Anolis sagrei: one gene and its partners. The protein of the gene in region 1 purifies or fractionates together with the protein of each later gene. This does not show direct contact. Links are inferred from orthologs where the notes say so. Each region holds a gene or a part of one and is shown in the gene's direction. Other genes may lie near its edges. The genes, in order: SMURF2, TGFBR1, TGFBR2 and SMAD4.

Evidence for each region.
Region 2: the proteins of SMURF2 (region 1) and TGFBR1 purify together in Homo sapiens (affinity purification with western blotting; 8 studies listed by BioGRID). This does not show direct contact. The link is inferred for Anolis sagrei from reciprocal best matches to the Homo sapiens genes SMURF2 and TGFBR1.
Region 3: the proteins of SMURF2 (region 1) and TGFBR2 purify together in Homo sapiens (affinity purification with western blotting; 3 studies listed by BioGRID). This does not show direct contact. The link is inferred for Anolis sagrei from reciprocal best matches to the Homo sapiens genes SMURF2 and TGFBR2.
Region 4: the proteins of SMURF2 (region 1) and SMAD4 purify together in Homo sapiens (affinity purification with western blotting; 3 studies listed by BioGRID). This does not show direct contact. The link is inferred for Anolis sagrei from reciprocal best matches to the Homo sapiens genes SMURF2 and SMAD4.

The regions. Positions count from the first base shown.
Region 1 is NC_090022.1:179,909,996-179,917,728, reverse strand, and holds the start of SMURF2 (E3 ubiquitin-protein ligase SMURF2), read left to right. Parts: upstream 1-4,713; 5' UTR 4,714-4,749; coding exon 4,750-5,228; intron 5,229-7,733. UniProt on the Homo sapiens protein: E3 ubiquitin-protein ligase which accepts ubiquitin from an E2 ubiquitin-conjugating enzyme in the form of a thioester and then directly transfers the ubiquitin to targeted substrates.
Region 2 is NC_090026.1:60,590,342-60,597,418, forward strand, and holds the start of TGFBR1 (TGF-beta receptor type-1), read left to right. Parts: upstream 1-4,070; 5' UTR 4,071-4,150; coding exon 4,151-4,280; intron 4,281-7,077. UniProt on the Homo sapiens protein: Transmembrane serine/threonine kinase forming with the TGF-beta type II serine/threonine kinase receptor, TGFBR2, the non-promiscuous receptor for the TGF-beta cytokines TGFB1, TGFB2 and TGFB3.
Region 3 is NC_090026.1:82,528,658-82,535,999, reverse strand, and holds the start of TGFBR2 (TGF-beta receptor type-2), read left to right. Parts: upstream 1-4,340; 5' UTR 4,341-4,637; coding exon 4,638-4,713; intron 4,714-7,342. UniProt on the Homo sapiens protein: Transmembrane serine/threonine kinase forming with the TGF-beta type I serine/threonine kinase receptor, TGFBR1, the non-promiscuous receptor for the TGF-beta cytokines TGFB1, TGFB2 and TGFB3.
Region 4 is NC_090022.1:287,005,773-287,013,777, reverse strand, and holds the start of SMAD4 (mothers against decapentaplegic homolog 4), read left to right. Parts: upstream 1-4,987; 5' UTR 4,988-5,306; intron 5,307-8,005. UniProt on the Homo sapiens protein: In muscle physiology, plays a central role in the balance between atrophy and hypertrophy. When recruited by MSTN, promotes atrophy response via phosphorylated SMAD2/4.

The DNA.
Region 1 (7,733 bases):
CCCTATATCCCAGAATATCAAGGCAGAAAATCCCCACATTATCTGAGTATGGACTCAGATAGCCCAGTTCAAAGCAGATATTGTGGGATTTTCTGCCTTGATATTCTGGGATATAGGGATGTGTGGAAGGGCCCCAGTGATCACCATAACTATATAGTCTCAGGGCCCTTCCACACAGCCCTATATCCCAGAATATCAAGGCAGAAAATCCCCACATTATCTGAGTGTGGATTCAGATAGCCCAGTTCAAAGCAGATATTGTGGGATTTTCTGCCTTGATATTCTGGGATATAGGGATGTGTGGAAGGGCCCCAGTGATCACCATAACTATATAGTCTCAGGGCCCTTCCACACAGCCCTATATCCCAGAATATCAAGGCAGAAAATCCCCACATTATCTGAGTGTAGACTCAGATAACCCACTTCAAAGCAGAAATTTTGGGATTTTCTGCCTTGATATTCTGGGATATAGGGCTGCATGGAAGGGCCCTGGATTATATGGCAGTGTAGAAGGGCCCTAAGAAGAAAGAGCATAGGCTTAGAAGTTGTCCATCAACAATTAAGACCTACATAGCAAATTGAGGAGACCATCTGGCCACAAAATCTTTTCCACTGTGGTGAGATGTACTACATTTCTATTTAAATCTCCATCTTCTAACAAGATAGTTTCTGTAGGTTTGTTCTTAAACTGAATTTTTATGTAGGTTGGTGTAATTCAAGCTATATATATGTGGATAGCATAGGGAATGGTTAACAGCCCTATGGTGTTTGTTTTGCTGACTGTGCCCCTGTTCAAAAGATTCTCCCTTACCTCCACTACCTCTGAGGATGCTTGCCATAGATGCAGGCAAAACGTCAGGAGAAATGCCTCTAGGACATGGCCCTATAGCCCGAAAAACCCCACAAGAACCTAGTGATTCCAGCCATGAAAGCCTTCGACAATACATCTCCCTTACTTTCTTTCCCTGTGACCAGTGGATTTTGGAAAATGTGGTTTGTTGTGGAAACAAGGACTGGTGAGAAAACTTCATTGGAGCCACCTTTTCCCCATGATAATAACTCTTCCAGGAGTGAATTTCCCTTCCTAGGGATAGAATTCACTCCCTTCCTATTGTCCTGCCCCCCCCCCCCCCCCCGCCGTTCTTAACTATGAGCAATTTGTAAATGGGATATTTGTAACTTGGGACTGCCTGCAGTTGGCCCTCTGTATTCATGGATTCTCCCTCCATGGATTCAAGGGTCTTTATAAGGCTGAAGTGGCCCTGGATAAGACTTGGGCCCCTTCCACGCAGCTGTATAAAATCCACATTGAACTGGATGATATGGTAGTGTGAACTCAGATAACACAATTCGAAGCAGATATTGAGGATTATCTGCCTTGATATTCTGGGCTATATGGCTGTGTGGAAGGGCCCTAAGGCAGGATCTACACTTGCATATAAAATCCAGATTATCTGATTTGAACTGTTGGCAGTGTAGAAAGAGTCCCTACCACACAGCTGTATAAAATCCACATTGAACCGGATTATATGACAGTGTGGGCTCAGGACCCTTCCACACAGCTGAATAAAATCCTACATTATCTGTTTTGAACTGGCAGTGTGGACTCAGATATTCCAGTTCAAAGCAGATATTGTGGATTATTCTGCCTTGATATTCTGGGTTATATGGCTGTGTGGAAGGGCCCTCCGATAATCAGATTATCTCACATTATATTCTGGGTTATACGGCTGAGTGGAAGGGCCCAGTCTACACTGCCATAAAATCTAGTTCAAAGCAGATAATCCAGATCTTATATTGCAGTGTAGAAAGGGCCTGGGTTATAAATGTAATTTCCTAATTCGTTCTATCCTGAAAACATGGGAAAAGTTTATTAAGATGCAATAACTTCATTTTTGCGGGACATCCTGCAGCACATTTTGATATAGTTTTTCAATGAATATTTCATTGATTCTCAAGCAATTCAACATAGTTTGTGGCAGCCACAAAAATGAAGTTTATGGAGTATAACAACTGCTTCCAAAGTTAGGCCCCTTCTACACTACCCCATATCCCAGGATCTGATACCAGATTTTCTGCTTTAAAGGGGATTATATGAGTCTCCACTGACAGATACTCTGGGATAAGAAGATAATCTGGGATCAAATCCTGGGATACAGGGGCAGTGTGGAAGGGGCCTCAGCCACTTCAAGCCATGAGGAGAGGCGGGTAAGAAATAAAAATTATTATGATTATTAGTTTCAAAGTAAACACCGCTCAATTAAAAGAGAAGTAACGCTTTCAAACCAGGAACAGACAATTTTTCCAACTTTTTTTTACATACTGTTATCTGACAGTGTCGAGTCATATTATCCAGTACAAAGTAGATAATTTGTGATCAGATCCTGGGATATTGGGTAGTATAGATTGAAGGCCCTTCCACACAGCCCTACAGCCTAGAATATCAAAGTGGAAAATCCCACACTATCTGAGTATGTACTCAGGGCCCTTCCATACAGCCCTATATTGCAGAATATCAAGGCAGAAAATCCCACAATATCGGCTTTGAACTGGGTTAGATAAATCCACACTCAGATGTGAGATTTCCTGCCTTATATATAGGGATATAGGGCTGTGTGGAAGGGCCATCAGATAACCCAGTTCAAAGCAGATATTGTGGGATTTCCTGCCTTGATATTCTGGGGTATAGGACTTTGTGGAAGGGCCCCCAGTCTTCAGCCCCCTTTACGCTGCCATATAATCCAGATGATCAAATAAAATAATCCAGATTATTGGCTTTGAACCGGATTATATGAGTCAACACTGTCATATAACCCAGTTCAAAGCAGATAATCTGGATTTTATATGACAGTGTAGGTAGGGCCTCATATAATCCAGTTCAAAGTAGATATTGTGGGATTTTCTTCCTCGATATTCTGGGTTATATGGCTGCGTGGAGGGCCCCGAGTCCACACTGCCATATAATCCAGTTTAGTGTGGATTTTATACAGCTGTGTGAAAGAGCCCTTGGTGACTATGGGGCCCTTCCACGCAGCCCTATATCCCAGAATATCAAGACAGAAAACCCCATATTATTTGAGCGTGGACTCAGATAACCCAGGCCCCTTCCACGCAGCCCTATGTCCCAGAATATCAAGGCAGAAAACCCCATATTATTGGAGTGTGGACTCAGATAACCCAGGCCCTTTCCACGCAGCCCTATATCCTAGAATATCAAGACAGAAAACCCCATATTATTTGAGTGTGGACTCAGACAACCCAGGCCCCTTCCACACAGCCCTATATCCCAGAATATCAAGACAGAAAACCCCATATTATTTGAGTGTGGACTCAGACAACCCAGGCCCCTTCCACACAGCCCTATATCCCAGAATATCAAGACAGAAAACTTCATATTATTGGAGTGTGGACTCAGATAACCCAGGCTCCTTCCACGCAGGCCTTTATCCCAGAATATCAAGACAGAAAACTTCATATTATTGGAGTGTGGACTCAGATAACCCAGGCTCTATATCCCAGAATATCAAGACAGAAAACCCCATATTATATTATTATTATTATTATTATAACTTTATTTGTACCCCGCTAGCATCTCCCAAAGGACTTGATGCGGCTTACAAAGGCCAAGGCCTCAACACACAATACAACAAAGCAAAACAACACCTAAAGCAAATTAAAAACAGTTAAGCAGTATAAACAACAAGCAATAAACAATACATCAAGACACTATGAAAACCGGGCCGGGCCAGGGTAATGGGTACAAGATTAAAAGTGCTGATGTGGCAGGAGGTATGTAGGATTATAAAGTAAGTGCAGTGTGCGGTGTGCAGCGATCTTAGTTCTACTAAAGTGCTTCTGGGACTTGGTATTGGAGATTCCTAATCTGGGAAGGCACATCGGAACAGCAAGGTCTTCAAGTTCTTTCTGAAGACTGCCAGTGTAGGGGCCTGTCTAAGATCTTTGGGAGGGTGTTCCAGAGTCGGGGGGCCACCACAGAAAAGGCCCTGTCTTGAGTCCCCACCAAGCACGCTTGCGACGCAGGCGGAATCACGAGCAGGGCCTCTCTGGATGAGCGAAGTGAACGTGTGGGTTCATAGACGGAGATGCGGTCACGCAGGTAGGCTGGTCCCAAACCGTTTAGGGCTTTGAAGGTAAGCACTTGCACCTTAAATTGGGCTCGGAAGATAAATGGTAGCCAGTGGAGCTCCTTGAACAGGAGGGTTGACCTCTCTCTGTATGGAGCCCTGGTTAACATCCTGGCTGCTGCCCGTTGGACCAGTTGGAATTTCCGAGCCGTTTTCAAGGGCAGCCCCACGTAGAGCGCATTGCAGTAATCTAATCTAGAGGTGACCAAGGCATGGACCACCCCGGCCAGATCCCAGACACAGCCCTATATCCCAGAATATTAAAGCAGAAAACCCCTTATTATTTGAGTGTGGACTTAGATAACCCAGGCCCCTTCCACACAGCCCTGTATACCAGAATATTAAGGCAGAAAACCCCACAATATCTGCTTTGAACAGGGTTATCTGAGGGCCTTTCCACAGAGCTGAATAAAATCCCACATTTTCTACTTTGAATTGGAATATATGGCAGTGTGGACTCAAAATAACCCAGTTCAAAACAGATCCTGTGGGATTTTCTCCCTTGATATTGTGGGATATAGGACTGTGTGGATACTGTGGGCCTTGATATCATGAAATATAAGGCTGTGTGGAAGGGCCCACAGAAAAGGCAGCTCAGGACCCAATGGCAGTTCAAGCAGGGCCAAACTGCGTTAAGAATCCAGTGCAGCCTCCCAGCAGCCAGGAGGAGGCGGGGCAGGCGGTTTTACAGCGGAGACCCCCTTTGTGTGGAGGAGGGACAGCCCTCTGGCTTCCCTTCCCCGCCTTTGTTGCCCGACAAGAGGGCGGGAAGGAAGGAAAGGAAGGCAGGCAGGAAGAAAGGAAGGAAGGCGGCCTCCTCTCCTCTCCCTCCTCCTCCTCTTCTGAGGCGAGCCCTGCTCATGGCGACACTGGGCACATCCGGGCATTTCTCCCTTCGGCGGCGATTGCCGCTGCCGCCGCTGTTCCTGCTTGCTGCTGCTGCTGCTGCTGCTTCTTCCCTGAGCCGCCTCCATTAGCAGGCCTGCCTTCCCTCCTCCGCCTTCTCCTGCCTTCCTCGGGGGGAGGGGGTCATGTCCAACCCCGGGGCCCGGAGGAACGGGCCCGTCAAGCTGCGACTGACAGGTGAGAGACAGGCAGAGAAAGGGAGGGAGGAAGGGGCGCGGGGGGGGGGGGGAGAAACAGCCTTGTGCTCCTGTTCAGGCGTTACTTCAGGAAACACGGGGCCTTCCAAAGGAGAGAAGAAGGCTCACAGCGTTGGGGGGCTGGGGAAATAAAGCGGGGAAGGGGAGTGGGGGGAAGGGGAACACACACACACACACACACACACACAAGGCTTCCATGGCTTTGAGGTTGAACCTGCAGTCTCCCTCAGAAAGCCTCAAGGGAAGGCCTCAGGAGGCAGCAAGCCACTCTGGAGGCCCTTCCCCACACAGCTGAGTACAACCCCACATTATCTGCTTTGCATTGGAATATATGGCACTGTGGACTCTGGGCCCTTCCTCACAGCCATATAACCCAGAATATCAGGGCAGAAAATCCCACAGTATCTACTTTGAACTGGATTATGTGGAATATATGGCAGTGTGGACTCAGGGCCCTTCCACACACACTGCAAGATATCCCAATTCAAAGCAGATAATGTAGGGTTTTATTCCGCTGTGTGGAAGAGCCCACAGATAATCCCACAATATCTGCTTTGAACTGGAATATATGACAGTGTGGACTCTGGGTCCTTTCCCACAGCTGAATATACAATCCCACAATATCTGCTTTGAACTGGAATATATGGCAGTATGGACTCTGGGCCCTTCAACACAACTGAGTACAATTCCACAATATCTGCTTTGAACTGGAATATATGGCAGTGTGGACTCTGGGCCCTTCCACACAGACCTATAACCCACAAAATCAAGGTAGAAAACCACACAGTATCTACTTTGAACTGGGTTATCTGAGTCCACATATATCCCAGTTCAAAGCAAAAAATGTGATATTCTCTTCAGCTCTCAGGCCCCCTTCCACACAGCCATATAACTCAGAATATCAAGGCAGAAAATCCCACAATACCTGCTTTGAACTGGGTTATCTGAGGGCCCTTCCTTACAGCTGTATAAAATCCTACGTTATCAGAATTATATGGCAGTGTGGACTCTGGGCCCTTCCACAGAATCATAGAATCATAGAATCAAAGAGTTGGAAGAGACCTCATGGGCCATCCAGTCCAACCCCCTGCCAAGAAGCAGGAATATTGCATTCAAATCACCCCCGACAGATGGCCATCCAGCCTCTGCTTAAAAGCTTCCAAAGAAGGAGCCTCCACCACACTCCGGGGCAGAGAGTTCCACTGCTGAATGGCTCTCACAGTCAGAAAGTTCTTCCTAATGTTCAGATGGAATCTCCTCTCTTGTAGTTTGAAGCCATTGTTCCGCGCCCTAGTCTCCAAGGAAGCAGAAAACAAGCTTGCTCCCTCCTCCCTGTGGCTTCCTCTCACATATTTATACATGGCTATCATATCTCCTCTCAGCCTTCTCTTCTTCAGGCTAAACATGCCCAGTTCCCTAAGCCGCTCCTCATAGGGCTTGTTCTCCAGACCCTTGAGCTGAATATAATCCCACAATATCTGCTTTGAACTAGAATATATGGTAATGTGGACTCAGGGCCCTTTCCCACAGCTGATTATACAGCCCCACATTATTTACTTTGAACTGGAATATATGGCAGTGTGGACTCTGGGCCCTTCCACACAGCCATATAACCCACAATATCAAGGCATAAAATCCCATATCTGCTTTGAACTGGGCTATCTGAGGACCTTTCCTTACAGCTGTATAAAATCATACATTATCTGGATTATATGGTAGTGTGGACTCAGGGCCCTTCCACATAGCCATATAACTCATAATATCAAGGCACAATAACTCACAATATCTGCTTTGAACTGGAACATCTGAGTCCACACTGCTATATAATCCAATTCAATATGGGATTTTATACAGCTGTGTGGAAGGGGCCCCAGTTCAAAGCAGATACTGTGGAATTTTCTGCCTTGATATTCTGGATTATATGGCTGTGTAAAAGAACCCCTGATTTCATTTCCTCTCTATACAGCATAGGATTCTAAAGTATGGTCAATTTTAAAAGGAACCGGAAAGGAGGGATTCAAAACTGAAACCTCTTCGCAACTCTTTAAGGGCCCTTCTACACTGTCATATAGTCCAGATTATCAAAGCAGATAATCCATGCTATCTCCTTTGAACTGGATTATGAGTCTACACTGCCATTTAATCCAGTTCGAAGTTGATAATCTGGATTTTATATGACCGTGTAGAAAGGGTCTTAGTACACCCCATCTACACTGCAATATAATGCAGTTTGAACTGCATTATATGGTTAGTGTAGTCTCAGGTCCCTTCTACGCGGCCATATTACCCAGAATATCAAATCAGATAATCCACTTTATCTCCTTTGAACTGGATTATATGAGTCTACACTGTGAGATAATCAAATTCAAAGCAGATAATCTGGATTTTATATGGCAGTGTAGAAGAGGCCTCATATAATGTAGATTGAACTGCATTGAACCAGATTGTATGCCATATAATCCAGTTCTATCTGATTACAGTGGTA
Region 2 (7,077 bases), on another chromosome or scaffold:
CCTCCTTCCTTCATTCTCTACCCTGCTTTCTTTCCTTCCCTCCTTCTTCCCTTGTTCTTTCCCTCTTTATTTCTCTCCTTCCTTCCCTACCCTTCTTTCTTTCCTTCTCTCCTTCCCCCTTCTTTCCCTCTTTCTTTCTCTTTCTCTCCCTCCTTCCTTCTCTACCCTTCTTTCTTTCCTTCTTTCTCTCCTTCCCTCCCCCCTTCTCTCTTTCCTTCCTTCTTTCCTCCTTTCTGTGTATGTGTTTTGTGTGTGTATATGCATAGATGTGTGTGTTTGTGTATATATGTGTGTGGGTTTGCACATGCATTGTAATGTATTTTTGGGGGGAGGTTGCTTTTTAAGTCTCTTCCACTGTGTTTTTCAGTTTTTATGAGTGATGGTCACTCGTTGGCCTGATAGATGTATTTTGTCCAAATTTGGTGTCAATTCGTCCAGTGGTTTTTGAGTTATGTTAATCCCACAAAGGAACATTACATTTTTATTCATTTGATTGTTTAAATTATAATCCGGCCCTCCAACAGTTTGAGAGACTGTGACCTGGCCCTCTGTTTAAAAAGTTTGAGGAGCCCTGGTGTAGTGGGTTGGACTGGATGGTTCTCGTAGGCTCCTACTGCTCCAATTCTGTAACATACTTACTTACTTACTTAGGCGATCCCTCGTTGGACGAGTAAGATGGTCTTCCTTGATGACTATTTTTGTGGGTTTGTAGGTGGCTGTGGAGCCCTATTCTTGACCCGCATCTTCTCCCACAGTGAAGGCATTGGTTTCCAGCTGGAAGGCGGTCCCAGCCGGGGTTGGCTTGATGCACCTTCCTCCTGGCACGTTTCTCTCTTTCACCCTCCACTCGTGCCTCCTCGAATTCTGCAGCACTGCTAGTCACAGCTGACCTCCAGCTGGAGCAGTCAAGGGCCAGAGCTTCCCAGTTCTCAGTGTCTATGCCAGAGTTTTTAAGGTTGGCTTTGAGGCCATCTTTAAATCTCTTTTCCTGTCCTCCAACGTTCCGTTTTCCGTTCTTGAGTTCGGAGTAGAGCAACTGGTTTGGGAGACGGTGGTCAGGCATCCGGACAACGTGGCCGGCCCAGTTGATGGCAGAGGACCATTGCTTCAATGCTGGTGATATTTGCTTTTTCCAGCACACTGACGTTTGTCCGCTTGTCTTCCCAAGATATTTGCAGGATTTTCCAGAGGCAGTGCTGATGGAATTGTTCCAGGAGTTGTATGTGACGTCTGTAGATAGTCTACGTTTTGCAGGCATATAGAAGGGTTGGGAGGACAATAGCTTTATAGACAAGCACCTTGGTATCCCTACGGATGTCCTGGTCCTCAAACACTCTCTGCTTCATTCGGAAAAATGCTGCACTCACGGAGCTCAGGCGGTGTTGAATTTCAGTGTCGATGTTGACTTTGGTGGAGAGGTGGCTGCCAAGGTAGTGGGAATGATCAACATTTTCTAATGTTACACCATTAAGTTGTATCTCTGGCATTGGGGAGGGGATGGTTGGTGACTGCTGGAACAGCACTTTGGTTTTCTCGATGTTCAATGACAGGCCGAGCTTCTCGTATGTTTCTGTGAAGGTGTTTAGAGTGGCTTGTAGATCTTCTTCTGAATGTGCACAGACGACATTGTTATCAGCATACTGGAGTTCTATATCAGATGTTGTTGTAACCTTGGTTTTGGCTTTCAGTCTGCTGAGATTGAATAGCTTGCCATCTGTCCGATAGATGATTTCTAGGGCTGGGCGGTTTCGTTTGTTAATTTCGTAATTCGTTATTAATTCGTATTTAAATTAGCTTACGGTCCGATATTGAGCCATGCAGGAATAGAGTAATTAAAAATCGAAACAATTTTTCCAATTTATTTCGTATTGTTTTGTAATTGGTTCGAAATCGTTTCGTTATTATTTCCGCATGTCTGGTGTAAGTTTTAGGGTTGCTGTTTGTTTTATCAGTGAAAAAAAATATAATTGTCACACCAACAGTCAACAACAGAGGGAGAGGGAAGCTTCAGAAGTTCCCCCTGTCCCATTTGGAGGTTTTTTTAGCGTATTGCGCGATCGCGTCCGCCATTAACGAATCGATTCGTAATTGTTTCGTTATTGTTTCGTATTTTCCGAAATTTCGTAAATATCGAACTTTTTTAAAGAAAATGTTCGGAATTCTTTTAAAAATCGAAACGCAAAAACCCCCTAAAAACGAATCGAGTTTAGAAACAAATTTTTCCGTGGTTGGACAGCCCTAATATAAACCCATTGTCCTAATTCCAACAGACCTCACTACCTCTGAGGATGCTTGCCATAGATGCAGGCGAAACGTCAGGAGAAATGCCTCTAGAACATGGCCCTATAGCCCGAAAAAACCCTCAAGAACCTAATGAAAACAATGGTTGGGGATCACCACAACACGAGGAACTGTATTAAGGGGTCATAAGGAAGGTTGAACACCACTGTCCTAGTGAGCCGTGCCCCCTCCCCTTTCTCGACTGCCCTTCCTGGAGGGACGAACTCAGATGGTGAAGCTGGGAGACGCCTGCTCTGACCCCTGGCCTTTGTCCTGTGGGGTCCCGCAAGGCTCTATTTTGTCGCCCATGCTTTTTAACATCTACATGAAACCGCTGGGAGAGGTCATCCGGAGTTTTGGAGTTGGGTGCCATCTCTACGCGGATGACACACAACTCTACTACTCCTTTCCACCTAATTCCAAGGAGGCTTCTCAGGTGCTAGACGAGTGCCTGGCCGCTGTGTCGACCTGGATGAGGAAGAACAAGCTGAAGATCAATCCCGACAAGACAGAGGTCCTCCTGGTCGATCGTAAACCGGATCGGGGTATAGGGTGGTCACCTGTGTTGGACGGGGTTACACTCCCCCTAAAGCCACAGGTCCGCAGTTTGGGTGTCCTCTTGGATTCTTCGCTTACACTTGAGGCTCAGGTGTCGGCGGTATCCGGGAGGGCCTTTGCGCAACTGAGACTTGTGCGCCAACTGCGACCATACCTCGTGAAGGCTGATCTGGCCGGGGTGGTCCATGCCTTGGTCACCTCTAGAATGGACTACTGCAATGCGCTCTACGTGGGGCTGCCCTTGAAGACGGCTCGGAAACTTCAATTGGTCCAGCGGGCAGCAGCCAGGATGCTAACCGGGGCTCATTATCAAGAGAGGTCTACCCCTCTGTTTAAGGAGCTCCACTGGCTGCCATTTATTTTCCGAGCCCAATTCAAGGTGCAGGTGCTTACCTATAAAGCCCTAAACGGTTTGGGAGCACCCTACCTGCGTGACCGCATCTCCATCTACGAACCCACACGCTCGCTCCGGTCATCTGGGGAGGCCCTGCTCGTGATCCCACCCACATTGCAAGCGCGCTTGGTGGGGACACGGGACAGGGCCTTCTCTGTGGCGGCCCCCCGACTTTGGAACGCCCTTCCAAAAGATCTCCGACAGGCCCCTACTCTAGCTGTTTTCAAAAGGAATTTAAAAACTTGGCTGTTCCGTTGTGCCTTCTCTGACTAGGAATCCCCACCCCAAGTCCTAGTAGCACCTTAGCATAACTAATCGTCGCTGCACACCGCACTTTTAATCCTACGTGCCTCCTGCCATTCAGCACTTTTAACCTTGTACCCCATTGCGCCGGCCGAACCAGTTTTTAACAATGTCTTGATGTACTGCCATTGTCGTTATTTTGCTTATTGTTTTGATTTGCTTTGCTATTGTTGTGTTATGTTTTCTATTGTATTGTGTTTTGAGGCTTCGGCCTGTGTAAACCGCATCGAGTCCTCCGGGAGATGCTAGCGGGGTACAAATAAAGTTAATAATAATAATAATAATAATAATAATCTTCCTACGGAAGCCTCCGCAGACAGAAGTCCTCCTCCTCCTTCGCGCAGCCGGCGGCGCCCCTCGCGGCTTGTTGTCTGGCCTGTGTCTGCGGCGGGGCGTGGGCGGAGCCTAGGACCAGCGCTGGCCAATCAGGGGAGGGCTTTGTTTGCCCGAGTCGCGGGAGCCCCGCTCACCATTCAGATGCTGAGTGGCTGCGAAAGAAAGGAAGAAAGGACGGAGGAGGGGGGGAGGGGCGGGCCCAGTCCCGCTCGGCTGAGGGGAGAGGAGGAGGAGGAAGAGGAAGACAAGGAGGAGGCGGAGGGGGACCAGCGCGAGACAATGGCGGCGGCCGCCTTCTTCCCTCAGCGCCTGAGGCGGGAAGCCCGCGCGAGTTTCTTCCGCTGGGCGAGTTGGGCGGCGGCGGGCCTCCTCCTGCTGCTGCTGCTGCTCCGCCCGGAGGCGGCCTCGGGTGAGTCAAGCGGGCCTCCCTTCGCTCCCTTCGCCCCTGGTTGGCAACATGGCGCTGGTCGGGGGCCCTCCGGCCTGCAAACCCCATCCTCCCCTCAACTCTTTCTCTCTTTCCCGCGTGTTTCTGTTCCTCGCCGTTTCCGACTTGGAGCGCAGTACACAGCGAACTTTCTTTTCCGAAAAGGCGAGGCTGAAAAGGCCTGCGAGGTCGCCTGAGGGACGCCCTCAGCCCCTGGGTTTCCCAAAACAGATGGGCCTCGCTCCTGGCGCAAAGGCGCTCCATGAGGGAGGGAGGGGAGGACTCCCTTTCTCCTCCGTGACCGCCTCCCTTTCCCCCTCTCCCGCACACAGCCCTTTGTGGCCACCGTCGCTCCTTTCAGGCAGCAGCTGGACACCTCTTCTCCCACCATTGGAGAAGCCTCCCCCCCTTCTCCCCACATACACACTTTGCTTGGGGGCTCATACAGTAAAAACATTTTGGCAACTAGACATTGACCCGAATGTGTCCCCAACAACTTGCAGTGTTTACAGATGGTTGCTTCAGCTGTCCTTCAGCTGGAGTAGATTGTTTGTATGTTATGTTTCAGACTACACAGAGAAGCCATTGAAATCCACAAGCATGTGGACAATTTCAACAGAAAGGAGGAGACCATGAAAATGAACACAATCTGGCTAGCAGTATTAGAAAAAACTCTAAAATTACTACAGCAAAACAGCAGAGAGGAAACAACCAGGCACATCTTAACACCTCTCAACAGAACATTTTCCCAGGCTCAGCCAAGCCTTCAAATGCTAATGAAGGTGATCAGCTGAAACATTCACACCTAGCTTCAGCAGAGAGCTCTTTGTCCCACCCCAGTCATTCCACAGATATATTAACCCATTTTCTTATTTCCAGCAGACCTCACTACCTCTGAGGATGCTTGCCATAGATGCAGGCGAAACGTCAGGAGAAATGCTGTTCCTCCAGAGGACAGGAACAGGATTCAAAACAATCTTGACAGACTAGAGAGATGATTGGCCAAAACTAACTAAATGAAGTTCAACAGGGACAAATGCAAGATACTCCACTTTGGCAGGAAAAACAAAATGCAAAGATACAGAATGGGGGAGAATGCCTGGCTGGAGAGCAGTACGTGTGAAAAAGATCTTGGAGTCCTCGTGGACAACAAGTTAAACATGAGCTCACAATGTGATGTGGTGGCAAAAAAAGCCTGGGATTTTGGCCTGCATCAATAGGAGCATAGTGTCTAGATCTAGGGAAGTCATGCTACCCCTCTATTCTGCTCTGGTTAGACCACACCTGGAATATTGTGTCCAATTCTAGGCACCACAATTCAAGAGAGATATTGACAAGCTGGAATGTGTCCAGAGGAGGGTGACTAAAATGATCAAGGGTCTGGAGAACAAGCCCTATGAGGAGCGGCTTAAGGAGCTGGGCATGTTTAGCCCGAAGAAGAGAAGGCTGAGAGGGGATATGATAGCCATGTATAAATATGTGAGAGGAAGCCACAGGGAGGAGGGAGCAAGCTTGTTTTCTGCTTCCCTGGAGACTAGGATGCGAAACAATGGCTTCAAACTACAAGAGAGGAGATTCCATCTGAACATGAGGAAGAACTTCCTGACTGTGAGAGCCGTTCAGCAGTGGAACTCTCTGCCCCAGAGTGTGGTGGAGCCTCCTTCTTTGGAAGCTTTTAAACAGAGGCTGGATGGCCATCTGTCAGGGGTGATTTGAATGCAGTATTCCTGCTTCTTGGCAGGGGGTTGGACTGGATGGCCCATGAGGTCTCTTCCAACTGTATGATTCTGTGATTCTATGACCTGAATGTGTTCTCAACAACTTGCAGTGTTTACAGATGGTTGCTTCAGCTGTCCTTCATAAACAGGGAGAATCATCCTTGCCAATGCTGTTGCCCAAGGCTTGAATCACCGGGGGTCCTTTCACACAGTGTAACATGCACAGATTATCTATAGGAGGGGTCCTCAAACTTTGTAAACAGAGGGCCATGTCACAGTCCCTCAAACTGTTGGAGGGCCGGATTATCATTTGAAAAAAATATGAATTAATTCCTATGCACACTGCACATATCTTATTTGTAGTGCAAAACAATTAAAAACAATACATTAATTCATAGAATCAAAGAGTTGGAAGAGACCTCATGGGCCATCCAGTCCAACCCCCTGCCAAGAAGCAGCAATGATGCATTCAAATCACCCCGACAGATGGCCATCCAGCCTCTGTTTAAAAGCTTCCAAAGAAGGAGCCTCCACCACACTCCGGGGCAGAGAGTTCCACTGCTGAACGGCTCTCACAGTCAGGAAGTTCTTCCTGATGTTCAGATGGAATCTCCTCTCTTGTACTTTGAAGCCATTGCTCCGCGTCCTAGTCTCCAAGGAAGCAGAAAACAAGCTTGCTCCCTCCTCCCTGTGGCTTCCTCTCACATATTTATACATGGCTATCATATCTCCTCTCAACCTTCTCTTCTTCAGGCTAAACATGCCCAGATCTTTAAGCCACTCCTCATAGGGCTTGTTCTCCAGACCCTTTATTATTTTAGTCGCTCTCCTCTGGACACATTCCAGCTTGTCAATATCTCTCTTGAATTGTGGTGCCCAGAATTGGACACAATATTCCAGGTGTGGTCTAACCAAAGCAGAATAGAGGGGTAGCAATACTTCCCTAGATCTAGACACTATGCTCCTATTAATGCAGGCCAAAATCCCATTGGCTTTTTTTGCCGCCACATCACATTGTTGGCTCATGTTTAACTTGTTGTCCACGAGGACTCCAAGATCCT
Region 3 (7,342 bases), on another chromosome or scaffold:
GCCCCCGGTGGTGCAGTGGGTTAAACCACTGTGCCAGCAGGACTGAAGACCGACAGGTCGCAGGTTCAAATCCCGGGAGAGGCGGATGAGCTCCCTCTATCAGCTCCAGCTCCTCATGCGGGGACATGAGAGAAGCCTCCCACAAGGATGATAAAAACATCAAATCATCTGGGCATCCCCTGGGCAATGTCCTTGCAGACGGCCAATTCTCTCACACCAGAAGCGACTTGCAGTTTCTCAAGTCGCTCCTGACATGACAAAAAAAATTCACTGGGCCAAATTTGGACAAATACCTGATATGCCCAAATTTGAATACTGGTGGGGTTGGGGGGGGGGGGCATGATTTTGTCATTTGGGAGTTGTAGTTGCTGGGATTTACAGTTGACATACAGGGTTAGTCAAAATGCATAGGCCAATAAGCCATTCAATTGAATGGCTTATTGGCCTATGCATTTTGACTAACCCTGTATAATCAAAGAGCATTCTGAACTCCCCCAACGAAGAAATTGACCCAAACTTGGCACATAGAACTCCCACGATCAACTGTGTTTTCTGATGGTCTTTGGTGACCCTTCTGACACTCCCTCATGAACCCTCTCCCCGGGGTCCCGACCCCCAGGTTGAGAAACACTGGTATAGGAATAAAGCAAATGCAAAGCCTGGATCATGTTTGTAATATCTTGTTTGGTTGGTTGGCAAGCAACAGCTCAACAAGCACCAACATGATGACCACCTCATTTTGAATTAGCTTCTTCCTTTGGACTATCAAAGACAACTTCATGCAAAGGGCATTACAGTTGTGGTTAAGAAAGTTGATCACAAGTTTGAAAGCATTTTTGTTCGCTATCACCATGACAATCTTGAGATTCAAAACCCTATATACTCATGCATATATAAAGAAACTTTAATTGAAAATATGACTCAGGGTGCATTAATTCTACATTGCAGAATTAATGCAGCTTGTCTGGAGCATGGGGCTAGGCCAATTCTATTTCCACTTGCTTTCTGCTCATTTATTATGCATTTAGATCCTAAAATATGAAGAAAATTAGTACCTTTCAGGAACTCTAGCACAAATGCATCATTAAAACTAATCATGAAGATAACAAAATTTGGTTTATATATTCCGAGAAACTGAAAACGATGCCATAGTTGCCTCTATATGAAGGATGATTATGGGCAACAGATGTTCTAATTTAATTATGACTGGGAAACAAGCAAAATGTGGTGTACATTTCTGACAGTTTGAAATCAGACTTTTACAGAAACTTTTCTGCGTGTAACTTTCCGTAAATGCCTTTGCTTGAGGCTGAACATTTTTGCACTAATATAAACAGATGAATGAATTCCTCAGAACAAGTAAAAACTAGCAGAAATGGTTCAGCAACAGGAAAAAAGAAAGCAAAACGCTCTGAAATTCAAAACAGTAGTACAATTTGTTGCTCATTAGCACCATGCAAAAGTATTTTGTTGTATTTCAGGAATGGTGGACATTGTTATATTACAATTCCTATCATTCTTTACCTTTTTACTGTGCTGGCTAGAGCTAATGGGAGTCATAGTCCAACAAAGTTTAGAAAACAGGTTTCTAACTCTTCATGTATTTATCTCACTCCGATTTTTGCACCAGGAGGCAGAAAACATGTTCTGCGTAATACATTTTGCAGACATGACAGTATACTGATTATATCTCAGCAGGCATGACGAAATTCAGAACTGTGTAAATGTAAGAAACCTTAGATTTGCAGCTAAATGCAGCTTTTAATGGGTGAATTATATGGCTAAGAATCACACATCAATACTGTTTGACCTTGTAAAACTACAACTCATGATTCTATAGCATTAAGCTAGATCAGTATTTCTCAACCTGGGGGTCACAAGGGGGTTTTAGTGGGTCACCAAAGACCATCAGAAAACATATATTTCTGATGGCCTTAGGAACCCCTTTAGCAGAGAAGGCCGAAGATCTCTCTGCCTGTCCTTCCCTTTCTTTTTGGAAACAGACGGCAAATCTTCCCACCAAAAGCTCTCCTGTGCTGTGATTGGCCGACCTCTCAGCCAAGGGGAGGGCTGTTTCTGAGACACCAAGCAGGGGAGGGGAGAGCAGGCATGTTCGGCACATAGCAGAATGGTGCGCATGTGCGTGTGAGGTTGGAGGGAGGCTTGGGCCACAGGTTGAGAACCACTGTTCTATACATAAACACACATATGCACACTGGTAGGCCTGGAGGGCCAAAGTTTGCTCATGCCTGATCTATAGGCATGTATCTGTCTGTGCGTATAACTTTGTGTGTATGTATGTGTATGTGCTTGTCTGTGTGTATAAGTATGTATGTGAGTGTATGTACATGTCTGTGGTTTACTTGTGTGTATGTATGTGAGTGTATGTGCCTGTCTGTATGCATAAGTTTGTGTGTATGCATGAGAGTGTATGCACCTGTCTATGTGTATGTGAATGTATGTGCCTGTTTGTGTGTATAAGTTTGTGTGTATGTATGTGCGTGTCTGTGTGTATAAGTTTGTGTGTTGGTATGTGAGTGTATGTGCCAGTTTGTGTGTATGTATATATGTGCCTGTTTGTGTATATGTATACGAGTGTATGTGCCTGTAAGTGTGTATAAGTTTGTGTGTATGTATGTGAGCGTATGTGCCTGTCTGTGTGTATAAGTTTGTGTGTACATATGCAAGTGTATGTGCCTGTAAGTGTGTATAAGTTTGTGTGTATGTATGTGAGCGTATGTGCCTGTCTGTGTGTATAAGTTTGTGTGTACATATGTGAGTGTATGTGCCTGTGTGTATAAGTTTGTGTGTATGTATGTGAGTGTATGTGCCTGCTTGTGTGTATGTATGCGAGTGTATGTGCCTGTAAGTGTGTATAAGTTTGTGTGTATGTATGTGAGCGTATGTGCCTGTCTGTGTGTATAAGTTTGTGTGTACATATGTGAGTGTATGTGCCTGTGTGTATAAGTTTGTGTGTATGTATGTGAGTGTATGTGCCTGCTTGTGTGTATGTATGCGAGTGTATGTGCCTGTAAGTGTGTATAAATTTGTGTGTATGTATGTGAGTGTATGTGCCTGTCTGTGTGTATAGGTTTGTGTGTATGTGCCTGCTTGTGTGTATGTCTACGAGTGTATGTGCCTGTAAGTGTGTATAAGTGTGTGTGTATGTATGTGAGTGTATGTGCTTGTCTTTGAGTATAAGTTTGTGTGTATGTATGTGAGTGTATGTGCCCGTTTGTGTGTATGTGTGTGCCTGTAAGTATGTGTAGGTTTGTGTGTATATATGTATGTGAGTGTATGTGCCTGTCTGTGTGTATAAGTTTGTGTGTATGTATGTGAGTGTATGTGCCTGCCTGTGTGTATAAGTTGTGTGTATGTATGTGAGTGTATGCACCTGTCTGTGTGTATGTATGCGAGTGTATGTGCCTGTTTGTGTGTAAGTATATGAATGCATGTGCTTGTCTGTGTGTATAGGTTTGTGTGTATGTATGTGAGTGTATGTGCCTGTTTGTGCGTATGTATGCGAGTGTATATGCCTGTCTGTGTGTATAAGTTTGTGTGTATGTATGTGAATATATGTGCCTGTTTGTGTGCATGTGAGTGTATGTGCCTGTTTGTGTGTATGCATGTGACTGTATGTGCCTCTCTGTGTGTATAAGTTTGTGTGTATGTATGTGCGTGTCTGTGTGTATACGTTTGTTTGTATGTATGTGAGTATATGTGCCTGTTTGTGTGCATGTGAGTGTATGTGCCTGTTTGTGTGTAAGCATGTGACTGTATGTGCCTCTCTGTGTGTATAAGTTTGTGTGTATGTATGTGCGTGTCTGTGTGTATACGTTTGTGTGTATGCATGTGAATGTATATGCCTTTATGTGTGTATAAGTTTGTGTGTATGCACGTGAGTGTATGCGCCTGTCTGTGTGTATAAGTTTGTGAGTATGTACATGAGTGTCTGCACCAATCTGTGTTTATGTATTTGAGTGTATGCGCCTGTCTGTTAGGAATTGTGGAAGCTGAAGTCTAAAACACTGGAGGGCCGAAGTTTGCCCATGCCTCATCTATAGGCATGTGCTTGTCTGTGTGTATAAGTTTGTGTGCGTGTATGTGCGTATATAAGTTTGTGTGTACATATGTGAGTATATGCGCCTGTCTGCGAGTATGTTTGTGTGTATACATGTGCGTGTATGCGCTTGTCTGGGTGTATAAGTTTGTGTTTGTGTGTCTGCATGTGTGTAGAAGTGTGCGTGCGTGCGGTGTGTGCCTGTCAGGGCGCGCTGGGGCGAAGCGGTTCCAGAGGAGAAGGAGGAGGAGGAGGAGGGCGGGCCAGCGGAGAAGGAACTCCAGCCAGAGTGAAGAAAGTCCTGCCCAGCTGTTTGCGAACTTCGAAGGTTTCCTGTTTCCCCTGCAGGCAGGCAGGCAGGCAAGCAAGCAGGCCGGGCTGCAGCGAGCGGAGGGGCGTGAGTCACAGAGGCACGCACTCCCAGCAGCAGCAGCAGCCGCCCAGCCGCCCATCCGCCTCTGCTCCTTCGGCTGCCTCTGGCGGGGCCTCCTCGGCTGGCTGTGGTTCCCCCTGGAGCCCCCAAAGAAGCCCTGGCCGCCTCCCCCCCGCGCGCGGGCGCCCAAGGCACGGATGTACCATGAGCTGGCTTGCCAAGCTCGCTTTGGTGTGGACTCTGCTGCACATCGCCACGCCCGCGCTGGCCCGGGCCACAGGTAAAGCTCGCACCAGAGGTTTCCCCCTCTTGCGTTCCAGCAACGCTCCTGAGAGAGAGAGAGAGAGAGAGAGAGAGAGAGAGCCACAGCTTTGGAGATGGTCAGGAGCTCCCTTGGGTTGCCTCAGGGCCACTTCCTCTCCCGCTTCAGCGCTTGGGAAAGTTCAGAGGAACTTTTCTGTCCGGTTCTTCTCCCCTATATTTCTCTTTGTATCCAGAAGGAAACCTCTCCCTTACTAGGAGGGGAAAGGGTGGCCTTAGAAGCGGCTGAGGGGGAAAAGGAAGGGGGCTGAGGCTGTTAGGAATGGTGGGAGTTGGAGTCCAAAACACCTGGAGGGCCCAAGTTTGTCCATGCCTGCCTTAAGTGATCATTTTCTCTCAGCTTGGCCCCAAAAGGAGCCACTCTTGGCTCTATTTGCCAGGAATAGAAGGTTATTCCAAAGAAATAAGGGTTACAGTGCCTTTAGGACTGTGGTTCCCAATTTTCCGACCGCCACGACCCCTTAATACAGTTCCTCATGTTGTGGTGACCCCCCCCCCCCCAACCATAACATTATTTTCGTTGCTACTTAATAACTGTAATTTGCTACTGTTATGAATCATCATGTAAATATCTGATATGCAGATGTGTTTTTGTTCACTGGACCAGATTTGGCACAAATACCCCATACATTTGAATGCTGGTGGGGTTCAGGGAGAGGGCTGATTTTGTCATTTGGGAGTTGTAGTTGCTGGGATTTATAGTTGACGTACAATCGAAGAGCATTCTGAACTCCACCAAGGATGGAATTAAACCAAACTTGACCAACAGAAAATACTAGAAGGGTTTGGTGGGCATTGACCTTCAGTTTTGGAGTTGTAGTTCACCTACATTCAGAGAACACTGTGAACCCAAACAGTGATGGATCTGGACCAAACTTGGCACGAATCTATATAAATAAAATGTAATGTTAGTTTGTGGGATTGACATAACTCAAAAACCACTGGACGAGTTGACACCAAATTTGGACACAAGACACCTATCAGGCCAACGAGTGACCATCACTCATAAAAGCAAAAATAAAGAAAAAACACACAGCAGAAAGGACTTAAAAAGCCAAAAAACAAAAAAAATAACATTACAACACATGCGCAAAACCACATATATACACACACATATATACACATATACACAAATACACACACACACATACACATATATACACACACAAAACACATATACAGAGACTGGGACACAGCAGCACACGTGGCAGGGGATGGATAGTACTCAATATGCCCAAAGGTGAACACTAGTGGAGTTTGGGGAAAATAGACCTTGACATTTGGGAGTTGTAGTTGCTGAGATTTATAGTTCACCTACAATCAAAGGGCATTCTGGACCCCATGAACAATAGAATTGGGCCAAATTTCCCATATAGTACCCCCCCCCCCATGACCAACAGCAAATACTGTGTTTTGCAAGCCCCTCTGAAACCCTCTTGTGACCCCCCCCCCAGGGGTCCCAACACGCAGGTTGAGAAACACTGGCATAGGGGAACTATATCTTGTTTGCTGCTTTTTCAGCTGTGGGTCCTCACCCCAAATAGCGTCCCTTTCGCTTAATAAAATTGGTAACAGTCCAAGGTATGCTGCCTATTTATATAAATCTGTTGGCGGGGGGGGGGGGGGAGTTTAAAATCTGGTTTACTCATGAATTTTAACTGGTTAACAAATTCTTGGGTAACTAGGTTTTCTTAATCCCCCCCCCCCCCTGGTTCCAGACCTGGTTAGCAGTAATATGCAGCGTTTACTGTGGACTCTGCAGTAAATGCTTCACAGCTGTACTGCACAAAAAGGGAAAACCAACCTGTTTAGCAATCCTTCATTTGTTCCCAGTAAGTATTTGATTTTTATACAAGTATGTACCTAGGACCAAAAGGGGTTGCGAGTGAAAGAAGTTTAAGAAGTCCTTCTGCAGCTGACAAGTTTGGAGTGCAATGCTTCACATTAGGGAACTATATTCTGAGATGGTATATTGGGGGCACAGTCCCTTAGAATAGTAAAGGTAAAGGTTTCCCCTTGGCATTAAGTCTAGTTGTGTCCTACTCTGGAGAGTGGTGCTTATCTCAATTTCTATATAGTAGTGTAGTAGTAATAGTAGTAGTGGTAGTAGTAGTAGTAGTAAATTTTATTGATTAGCCCTTAGGCCATTTCACAATACCAAACCAAACAAAAAGGCTTGATAAAACTTGATTTCACTCTGTATAGCAAGTTAAGTAAATCACTTATAACAATATACTAAATAAATATGATAAAACTGAATATATACATAATGTTTCCATTTCTAAGCCGAAGAACTGTTGTCGTCTGTATACGCCTTCAAGAACATGTGGCCTGCATGACTGCAGGGAGCGCCGTTAGCTTTCTGCCTGAGGAGTTCCTATTAATCTACTCACATTTGCATGCTTTCAAATTGCTAGGTTGGCAGAAGCTGGGGCTTCTGCCAGATTCGAATCGCTGACCTTTCGGTCAGCATGTTCAACAGCTTAGCGCTTTAACCCACTGTGCCACCAGGGGCTCCATAGCATAGGACAACTATATCCTGTAGTTGATAAGTTGGGAGTCCAGTGCCTTAGAATAGTGGGACTGTA
Region 4 (8,005 bases), about 110 Mb from region 1:
AATAACAACAACAACAGCAACAATACTCTGGGTGGATCATAGTTTATATACGCAGCAAACATTTAATGCCATTTGGACAGACAGGACAGAACAGACAGAAAGGAGACATGTTGTGTTGACATCCAGCTTTCTGTGCTCAAATCCAGCCGTGGGGGTGGGTGGGTGGGTGCTTTCGATCCATTCTCTATGACGAAGCGCCATCAGGTCTTCCTCCTTCTGTTTGGTCACCAGCATTTTCTGGTCTTTTTCTTTTATGGTGTCATAAAATACCTCCCCCGCTTTTTAGTAGTACCTAATTTCTCTACTTACAGCTCTAAGCTGTTTTTGAACTGCTTAGGTAAACAGTGAGCTGGGCTGACAGTCAGGTGCTCACTCTGACCTGGGCTTTGAACTAGCAAACTTTCAGTTGGTAGATCTTATTGCTGTTGGTGGTGATTTAGCAGTTGTTCTATAGCCTGGCCCAGTAAGAGAAAGTGTATCAAAACCTTTACAGTTTTACACAAAGAACAACATTTAGACATGCTAACATACATACAGACATGCTAACATACATTGAATCCACAAACAACCTACAGTTATATTGGTTAACAAACAAAGGGGAAATACATTTTTACTCTGCATTCGCATTAACCATACATATTCATTCATCCTCATGCATCCAAATAATACCTTCTCCTTTCTCTCTCCTTGGAAAAGCACCTGCTTAAGCCAGACCCTGCTTTCCCTGCAGCCAACAGACAGTTCCAAAACTTCCAGAAAGCCATAACACAATGCCAAGGATCAGATCCGTTTTCCCTACAGCAGGAACTGACTCACTGCAAATGTATCAGGACTCCAAAATTACACTCCTTTCTCTTCCCATGAGAAAAGGAGGCAAGGACCAGACTGTGTTCCATTGCAGATCTGCCACTTCCAAAGGTACACCATCTCTTTCCTTCCCATGGAGAGAGCATGGCGGGTGGACCAGACTCCTCCAATCTGCCACAATTTTAGAAATATTAGAAGGTCTCTTATATAGTAATATTTCTTGCTGATGTTGTTCCAAATAATGTAAATAAATGATAGATGTTTTTCCAGCCTGAAATATCCTGGCTTCATCTCAGCTCCTGGCAGATGCTGACTCTCCACTCACACTTGCTTCAAACAGACAAGGGTTCTTTCTCCGACCCTGGACTCCACTTGTCTCATTTCCACAGACCTCTGAACAAACCCCTGAGGATGCTTGCCACATATACAGGTGAAACATCAGGACAGAATGCAACTGGAACATGGCCATACAGCCCGGAAAACTCACAGCAACCCAGTGATTCCAGCCAAGAAAGCCTTCAACCAACAAATCCTATCAAACTCTGCAAAAAAGTTCCTTTCCTCTCAGGGTGCTTCTACACTGCATAATTACTGCAGATTGAGACCACTTTAACTGCCATGTCTCGATGCTATGGAATCATGGGAGTTCTAGTTTTACATGGTCTTTGGTACCTCATCAAACTACAACACCCATGATTCCATAGCATTGAGCCATGGCAGTTAAAGTTGTCTCAAACTTGCATTAGTTCTACCATGTTGACTCCATCCTATTTGGGAATTCATTCTGGAGATCAAGAATTAATTCAGCCCAGTGGACAGCAAACAAATTATTTCCAAGCAGGATTGTAGTGCTTTGAAGTTTAATAGTAGGGTTGTGTGCGTGCCTCCTTGCTAAGTTGGAGGCATTTCATGTTCCATGTGCCACCGCCAGCAAAAACAGCTTTGTGGAACAGGGAGGTGCAAAGACTTCAGAAATGTGGTTTATTCTCCCCGTGGTATAAGATGTCACGAAACAGGAGAGCTCTCATTTCCCCTTTAGCTACCGAATTCAAGTGCATCCAGAGTTTGAACACACTCCTGGCAGCCTCCCTCCCTCCCAGATCCCCTCTCTAGCTCAGATATCCTTGATCTAAATTTAAACTCGGCAAGCCCAGTGGGTACGGAGAGCTAAATCTTGCCCATGTTCAAATAAACAGGGTGTGGTTTAGATGGACGATTCCAGCTGCAAACACATTCTGTCCTTTAAATAGCAGGGGCTGACTCAGCTCAGTCAGGGTTTCCTTCTCTTCATGGGCCAAGCCAAGGAAAATTTCCTGTAGCTAATCACTTGCGCGTTCAACGCCTTTCCGCAAGCTGGGTCCTGGTCCATTTGTATGTCATGGCAGACTGAATGCCTTTCCAGTTGGTGGCTCCAAAATACTGGATTTTGACATTCTAGTTTTTGACACTCAACAAATGTGTTGATTTTAAAAACTGGATTATATTATTTTGATTATTTCTTGCTGGTAAGGAAATACATAGCATGTACCTATGCTCTTGCAAGCAACCTGTCCTTTGGACCTATCCAAACAAGAAGTCATAGAATCATAGAATCAAAGAGTTGGAAGAGACCTCATTTATTTATTATTTATTTATTTTATCTACTTATACCCTGCCCTTCTCACCCCGGGGGGGGACGGGGACTCAGGGCGGATTACAGGAAAGGCACAATTAGATGCCCAAATCACACAACAAACAATACAAAATATAACAATTCAACAATTAAAATAAAACATCAATACCTAATAAAATCATAAAAACTATCTCATGTCAGAGTCCATATATCAGAGTCCATATATCCATTCCATTCCATTGTCCTTGTCTATCGACAGGTCCTTTAGTTAGTTGTCAGCATGGCCAAAAGCTTGGTCCCACATCCAGGTCTTTAGTTTTTTCCTAAACGCTAGAAGGGAAGTCGTCGATGTGATCTCCCCGGGGAGTGAGTTCCACAAGTGAGGGGCCACCACTGAGAAGGCCCTGCTCCTCGTCCCCGCCAGCCTCACTTGTGCCACTGGCGGGGTCGAGAGCAGGGCCTCCCCAGAAGATCTTAAACTTCGAGGTGGGATGTAGAGGGAGATCAGTTCGGACAAATACACTGGGCCGGAACCGTATAGGGTTTTGTAGGTCAAAACCAGCACTTTGAATTGTGCTCGGAATTGGATCGGCAGCCAGTGGAGCTGACGCAACAGGGGGGTGGTGTGCTCCCTGTACGCCGCTCCGGTGAGCAATCTGGCTGCTTCTCGCTGGAAGTTTCCGAGCAGTCTTCAAAGGCAACCCCACGTAGAGTGCGTTGCAGTAATCCAACCGGGATGTGACAAGAGCGTGGACCACCGTGGTCATCCAGTCCAACCCCCTGCCAAGAAGCAGGAATGTTGCATTCAAATCACCCCTGACAGATGGCCATCCAGCCTCTGTTTAAAAGCTTCCAAAGAGGGAGCCTCCACCACACTCCGGGGCAGTGCTGGACGGCTCTCACAGTCAGGAATTTCTTCCTCATGTTCAAATGGAATCTCCTCTCTTGTAGTTTGAAGCCATTGTTTCGCGTCCTAGTCTCCAAGGAAGCAGAAAACAAGCTTGCTCCCTCCTCCCTGTGGCTTCCTCTCACATATTTATACATGACTATCATATCTCCTCTCAGCCTTCTCTTCCTCAGGCTAAACATGCCCAGCTCCTTAAGCCGCTCCTCATAGGGCTTGTTCTCCAGACCCTTGATCATTTTAGTCGCTCTCCTCTGGACACATTCCAGCTTGTCAATATCTCTCTTGAATTGTGGTGCCCAGAATTGAACACAATACTCCAGGTGTGGTCTAATCAAAGTGGAATAGAGGGGTAGCATTACTTCCCTAGATCTAGACACTATGCTCCTATTGATGCAGGCCAAAATCCCATTGGCTTTTTTTGCCGCCACATCACATTGTTGGCTCATGTTTAACTTGTTGTCCACGAGGACTCCAAGATCTTTTTCACACGTACCACTCTCGAGCCAGGCACCCCCCATTCTGTATCTTTGCATTTCGTTTTTCCTGCCTAAGTGGAGTACCTTGCATTTGTCCCTGTTGAACTTCATTTTGTTAGTTTTGGCCCATCTCTCTAATCTGTCAAGATCGTTTTGAATCCTGCTCCTGTCCCCTGGAGTATTGGCTATCCCTCCCAATTTGGTGTCGTCTGCAAACTTGATGATCCTGCCTTCTAGCCCTTCATCTAAGTCATTAATAAAGATGTTGAACAGGACCGGGCCCAGGACGGAACCCTGCGGCACTCCGCTCGTCACTTCTTTCCAGGATGAAGAGGAAGCATTGGGGAGAATCACCCTCTGGGTTCGTCCATTTAACCAATTCCAGATCCACCTCACCGTAGTTTTGCCTAGCCCACATTGGACTAGTTTCCTTGCCAGAAGGTCATGGGGGACCTTGTCGAAGGCCTTACTGAAATCCAGGTACGCTACATCCACGGCATTCCCCGCATCTACCCAGCTTGTAGCTCTATCGAAGAAAGAGATCAGATTAGTCTGGCATGACTTGTTTTTGATAAATCCATGTTGACTATTAGCGATGACTGCATTTGTTTCTAAGTGTTTGCAGACCACTTCCTTAACAATCTTTCCCAGAATCTTGCCTTGAACTGGGTTATCTGAGTCCACACTGCCATATAATCCAGTTCAATGTGGATTTTTATACAGCTGTATGGAAAGTGTCTAAAAAAAAACACCCTTCCACGCATGTTCATTTCTTGAAAAGGATACGACAACCATAAACTTTACGAAGTCAGCGTCGCGCCCGCCCTCCCGCATCCTTTCCAAGGGAAATCACAAGGGATATTTCCCGACACTACGCATGCGCAGTTTACGAGACTGAAAGAGGCGGCAATGAGAGCTTGGAGAGAGAAACAAACGAGGAAGCGTAGTAGTATTGGGGCGCATGCGCAGTTTGTGGGACGGCAATGAGGGATTGGGGGTGAGATGGGACGCATGCGCAGTTTGCGGGACTGAAAGAGGCGGCAATGAGGGCTTGGAGAGAGAAACAAACGAGGAAGCGTAGTAGTATTGGGGCGCATGCGCAGTTTGTGGGACGGCAATGAGGGCTTGGGAGTGAGATGGGACGCATGCGCAGTTTGAGGGACTGACCCGCAGGCGGCAAGGAGGGAAAAAGAAACGAGGAACCATAGTGGCCTGGAGGCGCATGCGCAGTCTGCGAGGGGAAACAGGACCCCGGATGTGGCGCATGCGCGGCGCAATCTGCCTCGGACGTGTCTGCAGCAACAACAACACGGCGACGCAGGAGGCCTCGGCGGTCGGTTGGAACGTTCCTCGCGCCTGAGTTTCAACCGTGCGCAGGCGCAGTGGAGGAGGCGGCGGCGGCGGCCGTGGACTGCCCTCATTCTCGCCTTCCGGAGGCGAGGAGGGAGGACGCGGGCCGGGGAAGGAAGGCCGCGGCGACGGAAGGGTCCCGGCCCAGGCCCAGGCGAGTAGGAACTCCCAGGGATGGATTTAGAGTTGGCAACCATTGGGGAGTTGTGTGGCCATCGTTGGTCCTCGTGAAGGGATTGAACTGGGTTTGCCTCATCAGTCCCACCAAGTTAGGCGAGTTTGGGCTTCTTAATGTGGAGGGAAGTCTGGCCAGTTTAAAATTATTTGGACTCCAAGTCCCACAATTCCTAACAGCGCTGTTAGGGATTGTGGGAGATGGAGTCCAAAGCTGGAATGTGTCCAGAGGAGGGCGACTAAAATGATCAAGGATCTGGAGAACAAGCCCTATGAGGAGCGGCTTAAGGAGCTGGGCATGTTTAGCCTGAAGAAGAGAAGGCTGAGAGGAGATATGATAGCCATGTATAAATATGTGAGAGGAAGCCACAGGGAGGAGGGAGCAAGCTTGTTTTGTGCTTCCTTGGAGACTAGGATGCGAAACAATGGCTTCAAACTACAAGAAAGGAGATTCCATCTGAACATGAGGAAGAACTTCCTGACTGTGAGAGCTATTCAGCAGTGGAACTCTCTGCCCCGGAGTGTGGTGGAGGCTCCTTCTTTGGAAGCTTTTAAACAGAGGCAGGAGGGCCATCTGTCAGGGGTGATTTGAATGCAATATTCCTGCTTCTTGGCAGAATGGGGTTGGACTAGATGGCCCATGAGGTCTCTTCCAACTCTTTGATTCTATGATTCTAAAACACTCAAAGTTGTCTCGGCCCTGATTTAACTAGTCCAGTGTTTCTCAACCTGGGGGTCGTGAGGGAGTGTTAGAGGGGTCGCCAAAGACCATCAGAAAACATAGGTCATGGGGGTTCTGTGTGGAAAGTTTGGTCCAATTCTATCGGTGGGGTCCAGAATGCTATTTTATTGTGGGTGAACTATAAATCCCAACAATTACAACTCCCAAATGGCAAGGTCTATTTTCTCCAAACTCTACCAGTGTTCACATTTGGGCATTTTGAGTATTTGTGCCAAGTTTGATCCAGATCCATCATTGCTTGAGTCCACAGTGTTCTCTGGATGTAGGTGAACTACAACTCCAAAAAACTCAAGGTCAATGTCCACCAGACCTTCCCAGTATTTTCTCATTTGTTGTTCATTCGTTCAGTCATCTCCGACTCTTCGTGACCTCATGGACCAGCCCACGCCAGAGCTCCCTGTCGTCCATCACCACCACCAGCTCCTTCAAAGTCAGTCCAGTCACTTCAAGGATGCCATCCATCCCTCTTGCCCTTGGTTGGCCCCTCTTCCACTTTCCCCAGCATAATTGTCTTCTCTAGGCTTTGCTGTCTCCTCATGATGTGGCCAAAGTACTTCAACTTTGTCTCTAGTATCCTTCCCTCCAGTGAGCAGTCGGGCTTTATTTCCTGGAGGATGGACTGGTTGGATCTTCTCGCAGTCCAAGGCACTCTCAGAACTTTCCTCCAACACCACAGTTCAAAAGCATCGATCTTCCTTCGCTCAGCTTTCCCCAAGGTCCAGCTCTCACATCCATAGAGATAGCTCTACTCTTTACTATTTTATCGAGATTGGACATTGCTCTCCTCCCAAGAAGGAAGCGTCTTCTGATTTCCTGGCCACAGTCTGCATCTGCAGTAATCTTTGCACCTAGAAATACAAAGTCTGTCACGGCCTCCACGATTTCTCCCTCTATTTTCCAGTTGTCAATCATTCTTGTTGCCATAATCTTGGTTTTTTTGATGTTTAGCTGCAACCCGGCTTTTGCGCTTTCTTCTTTCACCTTGATTAGAAGGCTCCTCACCAGTGTTCTCATTTGGGCATATTGAGTATTTGTGCCAAGTTTGATCCAGATCCATCATTGCTTGAGTCCACAGTGTTCTCTGGATGTAGGTGAACTACAACTCCAAAAAACTCAAGGTCAATGTCCACCAGACCTTCCCAGTATTTTCTCATGGTCATGGGAATTCTGTGTGCCCAGTTTGATTCAGTTCCATCATTGGTGGAGTTCAGAAGGCTCTTTGATTTTAGGTGAACTATAAATCCCAGCAACTCCAGCATTACCAAATGACCAAATCAATCACACCCAACCTCACCAGTATTCAAATTTGGGAGTATTGGGTATTTGTGCCAAATTTGGTCCAGTGACTGAAAATACGTCCTGCATATCAGATATTTAGATTACCATTCATAACAGTGGCAAAATTACGGTTGTGAAGTAGCAACGAAAATAATATTATGGTTGGGGGTCGCCACAACATGAGGACCTGTACTAAGGGGCTGCGGCATTAGGAAAGTTGAGAACCACTGAACTAGTCTTACACTAGATTTTGGAATACCTGTCTTTTGCATATACATCCATAATGAGGTATTGCATACATCTCGTATAGACTACTGCAATGTACTTTACATCGGGTTGCCTTTGAAGACTGTTCAGAAGCTTCAGATAGTCCCATGGGCGGCAGCCAGATTGTTTGCCGGAGCAGCGTTCAAGCATACAGCCCCTCTGTTACGCCGCCTTCACTGGTTGCCAGTTTGCTACCCGGCACAATTCAAAGTGATGGCTTTATTTATTTAAAATATTTATTTATTTATATTTATTTATTTATTAATCAATTTTGTATACCACCACTCCCCGGAGGCTCAGCGGTTCACAATATACACATGTAATACATAACATTTAAAATCAAGGAAGAATTCAATCAGCAAGGTTCAAATGCCAGCCTAAATAAATAAGTT